Caenorhabditis elegans: one gene and its partners. The protein of the gene in region 1 interacts with the protein of each later gene in a pairwise test. Each region holds a gene or a part of one and is shown in the gene's direction. Other genes may lie near its edges. The genes, in order: flh-2, F21A9.2, egl-13 and ztf-28.

Region 1 (5,586 bases):
GAATCTGAAATTTTTTTGACTTCACTTGCGCGAGCAATAGATTCAAAAAACTTAGAACTTTAAAAAAAAAAATGAAAGTCTTCAAAAAATCTATCTTTTTTGGAGCCTGATGTTACATTGTCTTACTTTTCTTGTAAACTTGAAAAATCTAGATCTATAACCACTAAATTCAGTGAATATTTTCATTTTTCCCATCCATCACCTTTGTTTTTTGCCGTACTAGGTGGTGATGGTGACACGGGAATATGGAGAAAAAAGAGGCGTAGAAGAAGAAGAAGAAGCGGTGACGATAATAGGTACGTTGGTCTAAAGAAAAAGAGAGAAAGAGCTTGTTTGGGTGGTCTTCTTTTCTTTTTTTTCTGCTTCTACTCTCGCTCCCCCGTCCTTCTCTCACTCCACCACGAGCGCCTCTATTTTGACTGGCGCCGCGTCGGTCATCTGACTGCTTCTCTCTTTTTTTCATTCTTTTTCTCTTTTTCTCTCTATCCATCTTTTTTCGGCGCGCGCTTCTCCTGGCGCTTCTCGTGGGCTCTGGGAGTCAGGTCCCTTCTGCTTTTTGGCTCCGCTTCAACGGAGTCATTGAGCTCACGAAAAGGGCATTCCAAGTTGGTATTTTTTGGTTTAATATTTATATTTTCTAAAAATTTAATTATATTGTTATTCATATAGTTTTTTGTAAGCTTAAAAAATGATTGTTTTCGTTAGTATCTAACCACATTGTAATAATTGAATATTTAATTGTTTTTTCCGGTCAGGACTTTACATATTATTCATGTTAAGCTAACTTTACAGATAATCATAAGTTTATGAAATTAACAAGAAAAACCGCAAGTCTTGTACAATACTTTCGCAAGTTTAAGGGTCTGCAGACCGGCCTGGGCTTATGATTGCTCTTAGGATTAGGCTCAGGCTCAGGCTCAGGCTCAGGCTCAGGCTCAGGCTCAGGCTCATGATGAGGCCTAGGCTTAGGCTTAGTTCGTTTTTTTTCAGATTGTCTTGATTTCTTAAAATTCGCGTCATTAGACGAAATTCCCGCTAGGTATAGGCCGCCTCCGACTGCGTTTTTACTTTTTTGACCAATCTACCATCTAATTCTAGGGTTCTTTCATTATCTCTGTCACTTTTTCATTAAATTTGTATCTTTCAAAAGTGATGAATAACTGAGTTAAACCAACACAGCATGGCGCCAATAAATCGTCCGTCGCCGCGTCCTCCTCCCTCTCTCCTCCGCCGCGGCCGCTTCCCGACGCCATTCCGCATATATTTAGTGGATTCTACTGATGTGGAGCCAATGGAAACCGGGAGAGGGGAGAGGCTCCAAACCGGCGGACGGACCCCTGCTGCGACCAGCTGGCGCCTGGCGCGACCATTTTGTTCCCCCTCACTGCATCGTTTACTACTAGTGCAGTCTCTGTCAAAAGAGCACACTCTCTTCCATTTTTTATGTTTACAACAACTCGAAGAGGGCAATCTTAAACTATTCATTGGAATTTTGGAAAACATCGGAACATTATCTAAATATTTTTAAGAAGTCTACGAATTTTGAACTTTTTGAAAAAAAGCAATCTAGCAAAATATTTTCAACTAAATAACTTTTTATCATATGTTGAGGAGGTTTAGAAAGATTGAAAGCACTACAATTAGAGGTGAATTGGAATGTCCTTGTTTGCTCTCTGATTAAAAAAAATACAAGTTCTAGTAAAATAGTTTTGTAGATCCCAATCCAAACCAGAGAAAACTCATGATCTCACAATTTTGGAATAACCCTATCATATTTTTTCAATTCTCCGATGGTACCACTTCCTTTTCTTCTATTGCACCTAAATATTAATATTCCCTTTACTTTTGTTTTTTGTTCACCTTAATCGCAATTGTCACTTAATTCCTCTATTAGTACGCTTCTTGCATCTCTTGGATTTGTTATTCAAATGTTCTAAAACAATTGAGACATACCGTGTAGATAGTTTTGAATTCATCGTATTTTCCATTAATTTTCCTCTTTTCAGACCGCCTGTATGGTGGACACCATGATGAACACAAATACAGATGGTGTCACAGCGGTTCCTCCGATCTTTCCACTACCGTCGACGACACCAAACAGAAATAATAATAATGAACTGGCGATGTTGGCACAGAAGCAAATAGTCGCCGGATTACTGTTACAACAACCAACGATTGTGCAGGCAGCGGTGAATGGAACCAATTCGCAAAAACATTTGGCAGATATTGACTATACGAATGTTATTCAGGTGAGAGATGGGCTCTTTGTGGTTTTGACTCCTTGATTAATATATTGAGTTATAGATGTGAAATTGATTCTCTTGAAAGACTTTTTAGATATTCATGTTCGAGTAAGTCTATCTGTTATTTTTCAGACTCTTCAAGCCCTTGGCACTACAAATCTAAAAGCATTCTCTCTACTTCTTGATCCACAATCCCAAACATCTCAGTTAATATCTGAAGATACACGTCCATCTGCCAGCTCATCACCGTCTTCAACTGCAACTGCAGTATCTAACAGTGGACAATCAAACGCAACATCCACGTCATCATCGTCCACAGAACCCGAATATAAACCGAGAAATGTGCGAGAAAAAGTGTATGCAGATGGATATATCATGTCATTTGATAAGAAATCGTGTTGTGGAACTAAAGAATTTTGGAGATGTGAACGAAAGAATGATTGTAATGCAAGAATGCATTCAGATATCAATACACGAGAAATTGTGAGAAAGTTACATCCACATAATCATGAGAAACCGTCGCCCGAAGAACTTGCATTTTATGAGCAAGATTTCTCTACTCTCCATCCAAATTATTGTCATCCAGTGAAAAGTGTGAGTTTTTTTGAGCTAAAAGATTTATGGTGAATATTCAAAACTTGAAATATTCAAAATAGTTAGAAATAAAAAGTCGAGAAAGAACGAAAATGTATGTACGCCGAAACGTTATATGTATTTCGATTTTTACTAATCGCCCTGCTTGAACTTCCTCTAAAATGATAAATGTTAGACCAATCAGCGATTCGCTCCGCTCATTTTCCAACCAATCAGACGGAGTGGGCGGAGTTTAAAGACGCAGTGGGCGTGGATTTTCATCGCGGGGGGTTACAGGGAAACCAGCCAAAATAAAAAAGTTTTTTTTTAGTTTTCGGTAGATCCTGTAGGCAGGCAGGTAGGCACAACACTTATTGTTAATAAAACATTCGGATTATGTGTAACTGCTAATTTCATGTTTTTTGATTTAAGAATTCCAAAATTTCCCAATCTTTTTTAAATTGAAATCTTTTAGATCAACCGATCCTACATGCAACGAAAACTGAGCCGTGCCTCACATGTATCACAAGCTCTACCAATTGCTCCACAACAAATTAAAGCTGAACCAATGGAAGTTGACACGACAAATCAAACAATTCAAAACTTTCAACAAAACAATAATTTAATGCTTCTCGCCTCAATCAATGCAGCAGCAACTGCGGCTGCAGCTGCAACTTCTGCTGGAATAAGTCCGCCGGTTGTTGGACAGAAAAGAGTATCAACGACTGTGATGCCTATCACTTTGAAATCGGTTTGTTTTTCTTGAATAATTATGCTTTGTTCAAACATCATAAGGTTGGAACTTTTCAAAACTATAGGTTTGAGCCAGAAAAACGGAAATGAACTAAAAAAAATGATACGAATTTCTAAAATTCAGGGCCAAATTCGAAAATTTCGAACAACTTTGGAATTTCTTAATATTTTCAGCAACGCACAACTCCTAAAGAAGAAGAAGATTCATCTCAATTGATGTCACAAGAAGAATTCCGTATCACTTACGAATTGACCAAAAAGCTCATGGAAATGATGAAGCCAAAAACTGAAATTGGAGTTCGATGGCAAGGAGATGAAGGGTCAATTCTTTTGTTCTTATCACATGATAATGGAGCAGAAGAGAATGTCTTCTTTCCGGTGGTTGTCATGAATCGTGATGAGGTAAGTAATATAATTTCTGGAAGCCCGAAAGACTGAAAGCAGAAAACAATCAACAATTATTTCCTAAAAATTTATAATTTTCAGAAATCCCTAATCACTGCGTTAGAAGGATTCACTGGCAAACGTTGCGAAGGAAAACTTGCTCTGTGTTACTCACAGAGGGTTAATGTGCTTGTACATGAAGCGGTAAGCGAATCAATTTTCTAAGACTAGACATGAGCCCTGGTAGAGTTTTGCTACGTGGCGGTGAATATGAGAAAACTCTTCCACTTTTCGAAATTTAGCATTGATTATTTGTATTTGTTGTAGGGGAAGCTCGAAGACCTGTGGGAAAGCTCGAAGATTTTTTCGAAAGTTTGGCAGTTTGTCAAATTTATCCTACAAAAAATCTAAATCAAGTCATTTTTTTCTAAGCATTTCTGAACCTTTCAGCTAATCAGCAATTGGACACACGGAAAACTATTTCTCGTCAACACTGATGCACCGGCTCTCTGGCGTCTAACGCCCGTCGACGCTTTCGGCGAGCCTTTAAACCATGTCTAAGTGATCATTATTCAATTAATCGATAGTTTGGAGTCATGAAATTATAACTTGACCGACTGCAACGTTTCGCTGCACGCTACATTTTATTAGTTGTCATGAACCTATAATATCGAGCTCCCGGAGCAATCATATAATTACAAATTGTAAATTTTTTTTTAAATTTATTCCAGCCATTTTCCCCTCTCAATACCTCTCCCTTATCTTGTCTCTATAATCTTGTCTGTTTCTCAACAAAAAAGCTCGTCGTCAGGTCCCCCATTTCCGGATCTCATTGTGAACTTTTCAGAAAAGTTCGCAAATTTTCATATTCCTTGTCAATTCCAATCTCTATGTCTCCCTTTTATTGTGCTCTTTCCCCCTTATAAAATTACGGAAACCACCCTCTCCAACTCAGGAAAAAACCCCCTTTATATGCTCCTTTTCTTTTGATAAAATGATATCGTTCAACTAACAATTATCCCCTGATCACTTACATCAATAAATTGTTTCTATGAAATAAAAATATATATAAAGTGGACAATTGAACATGAATAAGTAAAAAATGTTGCTATAATGTCACCATTGTGTTCTAGCATTAGTATGTCTAAGTCCATGAAAAATTGAGTACCTAATCGTAGCAAAGAGATGAGAAATAACCAATTTTGTCATCAAGTTCCGAATTCATCAAAAAATATCACAAAAGAGCTCCAACATGCTCCAACAAATACTCATCAAATTTCGTGACATTTTTGTCGAGTTAGAATCTTCAAGAGCCGAATTAATAGATGTTGCTCCTCTAGTAAAAGTGAGTGTTTGTGTTTTATATGACAAAATTAGTGTTTTTTTAATTTTGAAAACTATTCTTACAGCTTGTCGATAAACTCGGAACACGGATGTTCAATTGTTAACTTTTCAGACTGGCGGTCCGCATAATTATGGGCCACCCTGTAGTAAGGGTCGGTCTAGACTCCAATTATACATTATCAAAAATATGTAGAAAGAACATGACGCTCATACAATTGTGGCTGTTACATTGACGATTACATCAAAAACGTTGCTAGGAAACAAATTGAAACGTTTTTTATCTTAAACA
Region 2 (5,474 bases), on another chromosome or scaffold:
AGTTTTATCACCGCTTTTCCTTTTTCCTACATTTCCTGAACCTTTTTTTGCTTTTCAGTGCCTCCTGCCACGTCATACATCTGCAATCAGCTGATGTTTTGCAATCAATCGGTGTCGTTTAGTTTTTTTAGTTGAAACTGATAAGAAACCCTATCAGCACATACTCCACTGATTCAATTCAACTGATATGATAATATCACACAGGCTCACTTTCTTTTTCCTCTTCCTCACATTTTCATCAGTAATAATACATTTTTATCACTTTTTTGAGTTTTAATTCGAAAAAAACCGGTGGCACTTTTGAATTTTTGACATTGCCACGTGGCGGCTTTTAGAGAGAACTGTGAGAATACATACTTTCAGTATTTTATTTTTTATAGTATGCACTATCCTGATTTTTCGTGAGTTTTTTTCTGAGAAAAAATTGGCACATGTTTTTGCGTTTCGGAAACTGTCGATAACTTGAATTTTGCATGAAAACCTTGATGGCCGAGATTTTCTCTCTCTCTCTCTCTCTCTCTCTCTCTCTTGGTCATGCAGTAAAACCGTCATGATTATTGTGCGGCCGCGGAAATGAAAGAAAAAACTCGGCCGCCGATTTGCTGCTACACGATCGTGCACGAACATCTTTTGAACTCTGCTTTGGGGTTTTTTCTCTTTCATTTAAAATAATTCCAATTGATATTATATTGATAAAAAAATAAACGCGTATTTAAGCGGAATGGCCTCGCTACGCGCAACCCATTGATTGAAAAAAAAAAACATTAATGAGTAACGCGTGGTGAGACCATTTCGCATAAATACGTGCGCCTTTGAAACCGTAGAAGAAGAAAATAAAGTTCGCTGTATAGCTATAGCGTGTATATAAGTGAATTGCACGGATAGGGCGCGAGAAGGGCGAAGAGAGAGAGAGAGAGAGAGAGAGAGAGAGAGAGAGAGAGAGGCGCCCCCGTCACGCCTCAACCTAGTGAAATGTCTACAGTCGACAACTGGGAACATCCCTACATGTATAGTTAAACTGAATCACAGATGATAAGAGATTGTGGTAACTGATTAAAGATAAAAATTGGGGTAGATAATGATCAGTAAGGAAGACGGCGATAATTGAGATATTCGGTAGGCAAAAGTCAATGTTATAATATTACTTTACTATATAGAGCTTTTAATTTTGAATCAGCCATCTATGAAAATATTCTAGAAACATCTATGTACCTTTAAACTGTTGAAGTGTAAGCACATTTAATACGCAAAAAAATAATTACCGTAGCTCAAATTATGCACTAAGGTAAAAGGCTTCAATCTGACAGTACTTTGGAGATTCTCATAAATAATTAATTTCAAAAACAAAGCAATATTCAGAAGTTTAAAACATTAGATTTTCTCTATTAAAATTTCATATTTTGCTCTTAAAGCACCTGCCAACTCAATGCATCACATTTCACGCGCAATGTTCACTACTCAACTTTTCCTCTCAAATCTCTACTAATCTAATATTCATTCCAACCGGAGATTCAATCTATTTCAGTTGTTCAGTCACTTCATCTGCTCTTCCCAATCTTCCTTTTGTCTTCTTCTTCTTCACCTTATCATCAAAATCTGTGTGACTCGGAGTGCCGGAGCACGCACAACTTGCTCTGCGCCCCGCGTTGTCCCTGAGATCTTATCGCTCACTCGAGCCCATCTTTCTTCGTCGGAAGCCTCTTCTTTCGTTTTCTCATTCGGCCACTTCATTTATATACAATGGATGTAAACCAATCGATTCTGCATAATACAATAGCTAGCGTGAGTTACAGTAGATTTTTTGATTTTTGCTTCAAACCCGGTCTCGACACTACAAATTTTTGTGAAATGCAAAAAGGTGTGCTCTTCTAATAAGTAATGTTATCTTGCACCTTTTTCTGACAACTTGTTGAAATTTGATTTGTTCTTATTTTTATTATCGGTTTTCTTATGAAAGGTGAAATTACAGTACAGTAAACTCAAAAGAATTAAGCGTTGCGAGACCCAAAACGCTACATTTGACAAACAAAAATATTGATTAATGAATAGGGAAATGATGATAAATATAAATTCAAAATTACAAAAATAACGCAAAAAAAATTAGAAAATTAAATTTACACATCGCGTAAAACTTTTTTTGTTGAATATTGAGGACTGAATTATCATCAAAAGTTTGCAGTCAATACGAAAACAAGTTATGACCGCACCAATCGAGTTTAGATGTGGCGATTGTGTTGGACCGTATTCTGTGAGCGGCAATGGACAACTGTTGAGGATTACTGTAAGTTAAAGCATATACTGTAAGTTATAGAAGTTGGCGCAATATCTGTAGATCAAAACTGGATTCTGACTACCGGTGGGTTCTCAAATTTGCGCGTAACTTTTGGCGCATTGAATTCTTCTGATTCGACAGACACAATACACCATATTCCCCGCACAAATGCACCGTAGAACCTCCTTAATTTCCAGCTCTCCAACTTCACCGGTGAATCGATGGGTTTCGAGATGGAATCGAATCCAGTGACGCGGAGAATTCAAGCAGCCCAAGGTCCACTTCTAGCTAATTGTGTCATTATGCAGACAGGTATGCGAGCCACACGACATGGCCTAGAAATTGAAAACTAGGCCACCCAAACGGATATTTTTGCACTCAAAGACAATTCATGTCCTGCCTAGCTTTCACTAATTAGTCCACCAAACGACTTTTTTGAAATTTCAACTTCACCTAGGCCAATGTTTCAGGTCCCGTGTTCACAATTCTTTTCACAAAAAATCTGACGACCGTGGAGCCACTTCGAGCCATTCTTGTCGCTGATATGAACTATCGTCTGGAGCAAGAAAAGTTGGAGAAAAGTGAGCTTTTTTGCTTTTCGAAAAGAACTGCATTTCGAAATTTCAGAACACGAATGTCCACACTGTCACGTGGCAAAATTCAACTCCCTTCACAATTTGAAAGTTCATGAAGATTTGTACTGTAGTAAGAAGAAACTCGGAAATGTAGTTGAAAATGCGGATTCTCGAAAACAACAAAATGTTATTTTGTTGCCAATGGCGTTTCATGACCTCTTTCAGCAGAATCCCTTTCAGGTAACTCAGTTTGAAAGCTAGTTGTTAATTTCAATTGAACTTTTAGGTAGTGGGTCCTGTTACTATTGGACGAAATTCGGCATTAATCAACTCAAATCCTTTGCTCATTCATAACAAGAGAAAATTGGAAATGCCAAACTTTTCAACTTCGAAACTCTCCGTGCAGATTCCTATTATCAATTTGGATGAGAAGTTGGTTTTTTCTTTTGCAACACAGTCTTATTATGCAAGCGCGCTCCACAGATAATTAAAAACGCTCCGCCCCGAAATGTGGGGTCCTGCACGTGGTGTCAAACAGTCTCATTGCACTTTGATCTACAAAAAATGCGGGAATTTTTTTCCGGAAAAAATGTGACGTCAGCATGCTCTTAATCATGCAAAATCAGATGAGATGTCTGCGTCTCTCCTCCCGCCATTTTTTGAAGATCAAAGCGAAATGGGACTTTCTGACTCCATGTGGTCCTGGTAGGAATTGACGGCAAAATCCAAACGTTTTCAACCATTTTTCGACTTTTTTGCTGTTTTTCATGATATGTATTCATGTCAAAATGATGTTTGAAGAATGCATTTTTATATCATCATTTTTGAAATTAAAAATAATTAAAACGACAGGCGACAAAACATAATAATTTAAATTGATAGTTTTGGCGCCGATACCTATCGAGACCCAACGTTTAGGGGCGGACCTTGATTTCAAAAGGAACATTTTTAACCTTTATATAACGGGAATACAAAACTCAGAATGCGACAAATGTGCGACAAATTTGACGCGAAAATATCTCGAAGCGAAAACTACTTTAATTGACTACTGTAGCGCTTGTGCCTATTTATGGGCTTGTTCGCATATATTTTTGAAAAGCGGCAGTGATATTCCATTCGTTTCTAATTTTTAATATTCTATTGATAAATAATTCATTTCGAAAAACGATCCCGTAAATCGACACAAGCGCTACAATAGTCATTTAAAGAACTACTGTAGTTTTGATATTTTGCGCGTCAAATATGTTGCGTAATACGCATTTTCAGAATTTCGTGTTCTCGTAATAAATGAAAATCTTTTTTATTTTATTTTTCTATTCAGGAATGTAAGAACTTCAACTCCTCTGGATTTATCCTCATCACCCCATGCACCAAGTGTTCCATCACTCTCAGCCAGTTGTTCTCCAACTTCAAAAAGCTCGAGCAGTGAGCCAATCTACCCGGAAAGACCATTCTCGTGCACTTGTGGAGTCTCGTTTTCGTCTCAGACCACGTATGACGCGCATAAGCAACTGTACTGTAGCCACACAACTCGTGTATCATCTCCAGGTGGTGGACCACACAGAAATGATTCTTTGAGAAAGGTGAGATACACTTTTATTTCTCAGTTTCTTCATTTCCCAGTTTATCAGTTTTCGTGATCTCTCCGAGCCTCTTTCTGATTGCAATCTTGAATTATGGCGAGCCAGTGAAAGAGAGCTTGTGCACAAGCTTGAGTTGAGAACGAAAAAAGAAAGAAAAAAAAGGAGATTTGTAGGTACCGGAGAAGTGTACAAAATGCGATTTTGTGCCGACATCGTCCTCGCAGCTATCTATGCACATTCGATCATCGCATCAGACAACGAAGACATTCACATGTTTGGTGTGCGGCTACCGAGCATTCAGTATGCGAGGGATTCGTACGCATATGAGGTTTGGGGGAACTTATAAGTAATAATCAAGTAAATCGATGTGTTTCAGATCTCATTCTGACGATGAAGCTTTGAAATTCAAAGCCAATGAGCCCGATGAAACATGAATGGATAAAAATATATTTTAAGAAATTAGACAATTTATTTTCAGCTCAATAAACGGGTTTTAATAATTGTTTTGTTGCCAATTTGAAACATACTTTCAAAGATATTATTGGGCAGCAGAAAATAGCGCGCCTCATAGTCAAGTGAAAAGCTCCGCCCTAAACGACGGGTCTCGTTAGGAATTGGCGGCCGGAAACCAGAAATTCAAATTATTTTCGCTGATTTCGCCGGTTTCAAGAGTTTTTAGACCTTTTTTGTAATTTTTTCTGTTTTTAAAAAATTATTTTTTAATGTCAAAAAGAACATATAAAACCGAATCAAACGAGCGTATTCATTTTTCAATTTCAGATACGTTTTTTTTTATATTTTTATATTTTTATACCACATAAAAATCACGAAAAAGAACAAAACAGTTGAATAATGTTCGAAAACGTTTGAATTTCTGGTTTTGCCGCCAATACCCAATGAGACCCAACGTTTGGGGGCGGATCGTTTTCATTTGGTGTTGAAACGCGTTTGCACCTCGTTTTCGATTTTTTAAAACTCCAATTCTCAGGCAACTCAAATCTAATATGAAAATATTAAATAGCAATATTTTTGTAGTAAATACGA
Region 3 (4,573 bases), on another chromosome or scaffold:
ATGTCTCAATCTCAAATTCAAGTTCAAGCATAGATCTAAAATTTTAACATTTCGATGTGTTTTTTCAGTTCTTGTGTTTTTAACAATTCTAAATATGCAAACCTATTTAATTTACCTAGTTATTCAGGGTGGTTAATAACTGTGTAAGTTCACTTGTTTTAATATCTCGTTCCAAAAACAGAAACGTTGAGTTACTGCAAAGTGGTCGCCATAATTATGGGCGACTCTGTATATTCTTGAACTAGAAAACCGTATCTTTACGGTTTCATTTGTGATAGCCTTTTGACCTTATTTTATATAGACTTATATAAGAGTTCGTATACTCTAGGATTTTGTTGTATGTAGTAACTAAGATTTTTTTTAATATTCCAAGTTCCTAGATGTCATAACCTCTCACTATAGTTAGAACTTTTTGGCCTACTTAAAATTTCTAGGCTATATTGAAATACAATTTCAGTGTGTTTCAATATTCTTTACTGTCAAAAGCTAAAATGTCCACCTAAAATACATTATGATTGATTCCCGTCCTCGTATTGCGATGCCCTCTTAGTCTATCATAAATGCATTTCCGAATCTTCGAAACGAGGTTGAGTAGGTGCATTGTGTCAACTAAAAGAAACATTATGGAATTGTTGCAAGTGGTTCTCGACCTATTACCATTTCGCGTTCTTTGGAAAACTTTTGCGCCATTGGTCAACACATCCAGTTCTGAAGAAGCGCGGGTCCCCACCGTGTCTCTCCGACAACACACCACCACCACCCACTTTGCAGAGAAGAGGGCACAGTGTGTAACTTATTGTGAGACGATTCAGAGGACAAACAAATTGCGTGGTCAGTTTTGTTTTCAGGTGGGGTGGTCACTCTCTTTCATTCTCTTCATTGTGTGATGGAACACAACTACCTTGAACCACTTGTCTGATACCAGTTCCCTCTTCCAATCACCTAGACAACCAATACCAGCTTTTTCCTGTTTTCTCCCTCTCTCTTCTTCTCTTGGTTCAAAGTTTGTTGTCTGAAATTGCCAGTTCAATTGGGTCACCATGTCTGAAACTAGTGACCAATGAAATTTCGTGAACAGTCCAAAACAAAAAATTAATACCATAGGCTTCCTTGTGGGACAACTAGTTATATTTTCTGTTTGACTACTGAACTTATGTTTCTCTAAGTGTTGCTTTCTACTTTCAACCAAACATTTTTTTTCTCATTTTTCCATTTTGCCCCCATCTTTTATTCACTTGAACCTTTTCTCTTTTCTTTTTCTTCTTACCCTCAAAGGACAAATCGTGAGACTATCCTCAATTGAAGAAAAGGAATTTCTGATATATATCTGTGCAATATCTTTGTTCTCCTTCATAATTCACAATTCATTCAGCGCGTGTGAATCGTTTGAATTAATAATGCCACTGAACTCAAATAATCGGCCTTTTTAAGTTTCTCTAGTTTCAATTTCTAACGCTTTTGATTCTTCTTTTTCAATGTTTTCTTCAGGCTTGAATTTACAAACGCAAATTTAAAATTCCAGACACTCCAAATAAAATCAATACTCCATAATACTGCTGGATCAGTAACAACAATCTCCCGAATGGCTCTATAGTGGTGAGTAAGAACTAGTTTCCGTTCTAGTTTCTACTGTGCCATGCTCTTTCCCCTTTTAATGTTGTGAGCACTGTTTTGCTTTTTCATTGAAATAACAAAACAAGTAGAACAAGTATTTGCACCAGCAAGCATCTGGTAAGTATTCTCTTCCTCACCAACTTTACTTTTCTCACACTTTTGCCTATATTTGCGCATTTGGAGCAAGAGCAACACTTCCAGATTTGGTGACAGATTTCAAAGAATTATTACTTTGTCTAGTCTTATTTTCTCCTTGTCGTGTGCCGTTGTTGATCATAATAATAGTAGGCCAAATCGCCGCACCCGTCACTGCTCATGATCCCTTTAATATCCTAGCTAACTCCGAGTTTATCATCATGTGCCTCCTATGGGCACTGCCAATTCCATAAATAATTGTTTTTTCTTCTTTTCTATCTATCCTTTGTGTTATCCTTCTTCTTCCATACTTTACCTTATCAAATATTCATGTATTCTTGACAGACTGTAAGGGATAATTGGAGATCTCGATGATGAATTATCCTTGCTCTTGTGTTTGCAGTTTTGGTAGGGTGTATATGTCAATTATTTCTTTTGAATACTCTATTGAGAATCTATTGAAACCATACTCTATTCAGCTTGAGCTTCAAGGGAGAAACATGCGAGTGATCATTGACATACTTGATTGTAGTTAAAAACCGCATTTTCCGTATTAAACTTGCACCCCAATGGATTTACCTCGTATATCAGTCTTCTTAAGTTTTACCAAAAAATTATTTACTGTTGAAATGTACAAAAACATTTTGCACATAATTTGCCAACCGAGATAGAAGCTGTCAAAGTAAAGCAATGAGAGTACAAGACTAATACATTACAACTAACGTCTATATCATCCCTTTTCTAATCTGGGAGTTTGGTGCTTCCAAATTATTTTCAGAAAAAAACGTCAGCACAGTTTGATAGCAAATGCTGCAAAGGATATGCTCCCCCAGTTTTATGATGATACCTGAAAATTAAGTAAAAATTTTGTAAAAAAAACATTCATCCAACTTCTATAGCACTCATCGGATTTTTTGACAGGGGCCAGTTCTCGGCTCCTCATAATTTTCTCGTTTATTGTTAAAATTTCGAACTAAACTTTGAGATATAAGTTGTGAAAATCAAGGACCATAGGTTTTCAACATTTTCTATTGAACTGTACTAACACCTTTTCAAAAAATATTTTCAAAAACACCAAACTCTCAAATTAGTGGGGTGGTGCTATAGACGTTGGGCACACTGTAGAGAAATATTTGGTGGTATATTAGGTCTCCAAATAAGTTCCGGGTCAAAAGTCATAACTTTGTTCGCTGCGTATCGATTTTTATGAAACTTTGGGAATTCATGTTATCAACTATGATCTTTCATTTGACAATAGTCACAAAATTTTTTGACCACCCCAAGTGCCCTAACTCGGAACCAATTTTTTCAGGCATTTTTCTGATCTCGCTTCTTTTCAAATTTCAATTGAGGTTCATGGTTACATCATTTTTGTAGGAAAAATCTAGAATTTTCGACAAAAAATTTTTTTGAAGATTTTTTGACGACCAACCAAAAAAAATTTTTTTGGACGGATTTTTTCAAAACTTTTGTTGTTTTCTAATAATGTATTCTAAACAAAGAAAAATCCGCACACAACCCTCAATTCAAAGCTGAAAATAAGCGAGATCAGAAAAATGCCTGAAAAAATTGGCTCCGAGTTAGGACACTTGGGGCGGTCAAAAAATTTCGTGACTATTGTTAAATGAAAGATTATAGTTGATAACATAAATTCCCAGAGTTTCATGAAAATCGATACACAGCGAACAAAGTTATGATTTTTGACCCAGAACTTATTTGGAGACCTAATATATTTGATTTACCTTTTTTTGAAATCTTTCTTATTTGTTGTGCATGAGACTTAACTTTTTTTTCATAAACTTATCACACAACAATTCTTCGCAAAACACTACAATCGAACATCATTCCTGCTCATCAAACATCTGCGCTGTCCCACTGTCCCAGTGTCTCATCGCTCGTCAAGCCTATCAACATTTTTTGTCCCAAACTAAAAGTGCAATGAGAGCTCCATTGTATTGCACGAAAAGTTTCTCAGTTTCTCAAAAAGTGTGACATCGAGAGAAAAAGAGCACCGTTGTTTCGAGGTTCAGCCGCCACAAGAGCCAGTTGTCACCGGCGCCCCGGATACACGGAACAAAGCCATGAGACGTATGTTCTATTAGGTGTTCAACTATTGCTAACCTGTCACCTGCCCCGACATTATTTGATTATCTATTGTCTCGTTAATTGATGGTAAGTAGAGTGTGTGACACCTTGAGAAACGATTCCACAAATATCACCATTTTGAACGTGTTGAAAATATCCGTCGAACTAACGTTTGTACTCGTAGTATCACTTTTTCCTATCCGTTTTTCGTGTTTGAAATCTTTGATAGGAAGATAAGACACAGGGAACCCCGAGCTCTTGATGGAACAATGCCTGCCAAGATGTTTGTCAATTGTTGCATCTTCCTGGAAGACGACAAAAGTTCCCCCGTTTTTCATCTTTTCGTCCCACTCTCATACGAATCTTGAACAGAAATTGTTGCGAAAATTTTTTCTTTCAAAAACTGACCTCAAATCAGCGGAAGGAGTCACTTGTCACACTTGTTCTTCTTTTATATATCACACTTAATAACACCTATCTTTTGTTGTCAAACCAAAACGGAGCTCTTGTAATATTCAATATTGAACGAACATTATGCCCTTTCCCATTTGACAAATAGGCCTTGATCCATCCTGCTCTAGACTATAATCGGCTTAACCAGGCCTTGCTCATAGATTTCGATTCTTAGCCCCTGTTTCCTCCATCCCCACAACAACAAGTTATCCAAGGGCAACATCGATGAATTGTGGAATTTGATACTAACGGTCCCGCGGGAAGGTGAAATTGAAGTATTTGAATT
Region 4 (3,469 bases), on another chromosome or scaffold:
GACACCATCGAAAACCTGGAGGCGCTGAAATTCCGGAACACTACTAGAACTCAAATCTGGGAATCTTCAAAAAGTATATACCGCCCGGAAATGGTCGCCGTACAAACCTACCATCACACTCATCTACAGTATCCCGGCGTTATCGTGAAAAATGTTCCCAGGGAGACTGCCGGGTTTAGGTAGGTTTTACACATACGTGAAAGTTTGCGATTTTTGGACCAAAATATGGTACTCGGTCTCGACACGAAAATGTTTTGTTTAATACTAAAAGGTGTGTGCCTTTAATGGGTACTGTAATTGCAAACTTTTGTTGCAGTGGAATTTTCTTTCGATTGTTTTCTGCAGAATAATATTTTTTATCGAAGAACTATGAAGAGCCCACCAACGTACAGTACTCCTTAAAGGCGCACACCTCTTCGAAAATACAAATTATCGTGTCGAGACCAGATATCGTATTTTTAGCTCAAAAATCACAAAGTTTCGCGTGTGTATAATAACACGGTCATATGTAAATTCAAGCAGCAGCTCGTGTACTTCTCGAGGAGAAGTGTGCATTTGTTTTTTGCAGAGATTTTTGAATTTTTACTGAAATTCTTGCCGATTTTTGTGTATTATTTTTGAAAATAGTGAGCATTTTAGACTGAATTTTCTAATTTTTTAGTGTTTTAGGCGGAAATTCTGTAGAAAAAATTACCGAAAATGGCCAAAAATCAGGAAATTTTTGCCAAAAAACGCACACTTGTCCTCGAGGAGTACACGAGCCGCGTAAATCGACACTGACATTTTCAGACACTACCGAATGACCTCCGTCAGAAATAGTATCGGAAATGGTTGGATTTACGGCGACAACTTCACTATAACCGAGCTGGATAGGGAGCTGGAGAAGCTTCTGGTGCATAAAGTTGCTAATATGGCTGAGCATATTTATGGGTCTTGAAATGAAGAAATTGCAGTAACTTACTGTACCGGTTTTGTATTCCTTTTTTTTCATGTCGAAATAAATCAAATCACAAAGTAGCGCCAGTGGGAAAATTGCTTTAAAACATGCCTATAGTGTCACAATGGCCAAATATCATAGTAAAAAAATTCAATTTTTTTTTCTAAATTTTATATGACTTTTTGAAAATTGGAAAAATCTCAGTTTTGCCCGAACTGCAATTTGAATTACCGCCAAGAGAATTCGTTCGATGGAGCGCGCTTGCACGTTTTTATTTTTATTTAAAATTAAATATTTATTGTTATTTTCACTCATTTTTCACCGATTTTTCATGTTTTCAGTGTATTTTTTTTTTGAAATATAAAGAAAAAATTAAGATAAATTCAAATAATCGATTGAAAACCTACTTTACAAGCGTAGAAACAAAGAAGTAACACTTTTAAACGACGTCGACCCTGAATTAATTAATTTTACAGATTTTTTTCGTTTAAAAATATTATTTATTAATTATATGATTAATGTGATTAGTGAGAAGCTTTTTTAGTCTACTATCCTTGCAAAAATTTTGTAGGTCAGTAAAAAAATTCTTTTTTCTTCTACACTCAAAATAATAAAACTGCGTTGCGTGTACGACCAAATAGGCCCCGCCTTTTAATCGTCCACTCACGGGAAAAAGGCAAAAATATGGGAGGGGGGGGACAGCTCGCCACGCCAACAGTGAGAAAAATAGTGTGGTGCGCGGACCTCGAATGATGTCGGCTGCTGATATTGGCTACACCAGCCGCTTTTTGCCTTTTCCCCGTGAGTGAACGAGAAAAAGGCGGGGCCTATTTTGGCGTACACGCAACGCAGTTTTATTATTTTGAGTGTAAATTGATGTAAAATTCTAAAATTTTTCTTCAAAATGTCCTCTTCTTTCAGAAAATCAGCTTCATGGATACTTCCGATCACAAGCCCCTTATCGACCGCTTCGAAACGGAATTCGCTGAAAAATCGTCACTGCTTCGCAAAGAAGAAAGCGAGCTTAAGCGGCCGGATCTCAGAGGTGAGTTTTATTTTATTTTTTTTTGTAATTAAAAAAAAACATTAATTTTTCCATTTTTCAGGCGATTTCCTCTGCTTGTCCTGCGGCCAAAACTTCAAGCACGGCGCTTCTCTCAACCGCCATCGTAAACTGGTGCATAGCGACGAGTACACCTGCATGCTGTGCGCCCGTAAGCTCTACCTGAAGGAGACCGTCCGTGATCACATGAGAAATGAGCACTACTTGGGTCAAGTATACACCTGCGGATGCTGTAACTGGACGTTTTCCAACAAAAAAGCCCTCACCGAACACGCAAAGGCCATACAGGAAACCGGAGCTCCAGGAGACGCCAACCCGATTGCGAAATCCGGCAATTCACCGGGATCACTGCTGAAATCGCCAATTCAAAGAGCCGGCTTCAAGCTTAATCGTCTTTTGAACAAGTCTCTGTCGCCGTCGACTTCCAATTCAACAACGTCCTCATCTTCCCGCGACGCTTCAGGATCGCCCCAACCGGAGCTGGAGCTGAAGCTGGAGCCAGAGCCAGAGCCAGAGCCCAATGAAGAAGCTCTCGAGTACAAAAGATTCTTCAACAATGCAGTCGACACAATTCTACAGAGAAATTTTTTCACCGATCAGCAGATCACTGAAGTCGACACATGGGTCATAATCATCGAAAGTGCGAATGCTCTTGCGACGGCGCTTCAGAGCTACAAGAAAGCTCAGCAGGTAGCTAATTAAAACATTTTTTTTAAAGATAAATTTTCAAAAAATAATTTTTCAGATCCAGCCAGCCGAGCCAGCCATGATCCCAGAAAAGCGCATCAAGCCGGAAATTGAGTAATCGTTGATGTTCGAGTGTCTTCATTATGTTTATAGTTCTACCTCACTGCTCACTTTTTGATTTTCATGTTATGTTAATTTACATTTTCAATTTTCGATAAGCTTTAATACATTATTTTGATTAAAAAAAAGATCCAATTACTGATAGCATCCAATCTCATCACTAAAGAATGCATCACTCGCCCAATGGAATGTGATTGGAAACATGGGCGGCCCGGAGTGATACGTGGCATCTGAATGGGTACACGGCATCGCTTCTCGTTGTGAAAGCTCACAATCAAAAGCATTTACACACGTGGATTCTGCAGAAAGAAGGCCGGCGTCTCGAATGTGATAAAATGATTGATTATAGCACTGGAATACGATGTTCGTATAAAAATCATCTTTGGGCAGAGAGGAGGTTAAGCTGGTGAATTCTGGCTGGGAAATTGTGCTGAAATTTTTTAAAATTTGAACTTTTGAAATTGTGGTTCCCGGTCCTGACACGACACATTTTTGTTGAATGCAAGTGTGTGCCTTTAATGAGTACTGTAACTTTAAACTCGGGTTGCTGCGTAAGGTATGAAATATCGATAAAAAAACCAGAGTTTTTGAAAATACAGTACTCTTCAAAGGCGCACACCGCATTTACAAAAACTGGTCGTGTCGAGACCGGGTACCGTGTT

Evidence for each region.
Region 2: the proteins of flh-2 (region 1) and F21A9.2 interact in a two-hybrid assay, tested with the Caenorhabditis elegans proteins (one large-scale study listed by BioGRID).
Region 3: the proteins of flh-2 (region 1) and egl-13 interact in a two-hybrid assay, tested with the Caenorhabditis elegans proteins (one large-scale study listed by BioGRID).
Region 4: the proteins of flh-2 (region 1) and ztf-28 interact in a two-hybrid assay, tested with the Caenorhabditis elegans proteins (one large-scale study listed by BioGRID).

What each region holds. Positions count from the first base shown.
Region 1 is NC_003281.10:4,950,118-4,955,703, forward strand, and holds flh-2 (FLYWCH transcription factor 2), read left to right. Parts: upstream 1-2,006; 5' UTR 2,007-2,015; coding exon 2,016-2,249; intron 2,250-2,375; coding exon 2,376-2,837; intron 2,838-3,291; coding exon 3,292-3,567; intron 3,568-3,743; coding exon 3,744-3,971; intron 3,972-4,055; coding exon 4,056-4,157; intron 4,158-4,403; coding exon 4,404-4,514; 3' UTR 4,515-5,054; downstream 5,055-5,586. UniProt on the Caenorhabditis elegans protein: Probable transcription factor. May bind to the promoters of target genes, including micro-RNA genes, in order to repress expression, and acting redundantly with flh-1 and flh-3.
Region 2 is NC_003279.8:3,705,487-3,710,960, reverse strand, and holds F21A9.2 (C2H2-type domain-containing protein), read left to right. Parts: upstream 1-1,525; 5' UTR 1,526-1,740; coding exon 1,741-1,782; intron 1,783-2,179; coding exon 2,180-2,281; intron 2,282-2,469; coding exon 2,470-2,584; intron 2,585-2,742; coding exon 2,743-2,853; intron 2,854-2,899; coding exon 2,900-3,087; intron 3,088-3,133; coding exon 3,134-3,279; intron 3,280-4,168; coding exon 4,169-4,430; intron 4,431-4,603; coding exon 4,604-4,758; intron 4,759-4,806; coding exon 4,807-4,864; 3' UTR 4,865-4,931; downstream 4,932-5,474.
Region 3 is NC_003284.9:5,662,315-5,666,887, forward strand, and holds the start of egl-13 (Transcription factor egl-13), read left to right. Parts: upstream 1-1,522; 5' UTR 1,523-1,596; intron 1,597-2,050; exon of another isoform or gene 2,051-2,190; intron 2,191-4,173; exon of another isoform or gene 4,174-4,366; intron 4,367-4,573.
Region 4 is NC_003283.11:2,088,811-2,092,279, forward strand, and holds ztf-28 (C2H2-type domain-containing protein), read left to right. Parts: upstream 1-1,858; 5' UTR 1,859-1,870; coding exon 1,871-1,982; intron 1,983-2,043; coding exon 2,044-2,690; intron 2,691-2,745; coding exon 2,746-2,805; 3' UTR 2,806-2,930; downstream 2,931-3,469. Other genes in the region: gtnt-27 (Glycosyltransferase family 92 protein), read left to right, coding at 1-179, 790-937; gtnt-26 (Glycosyltransferase family 92 protein), read right to left, coding at 2,943-3,237.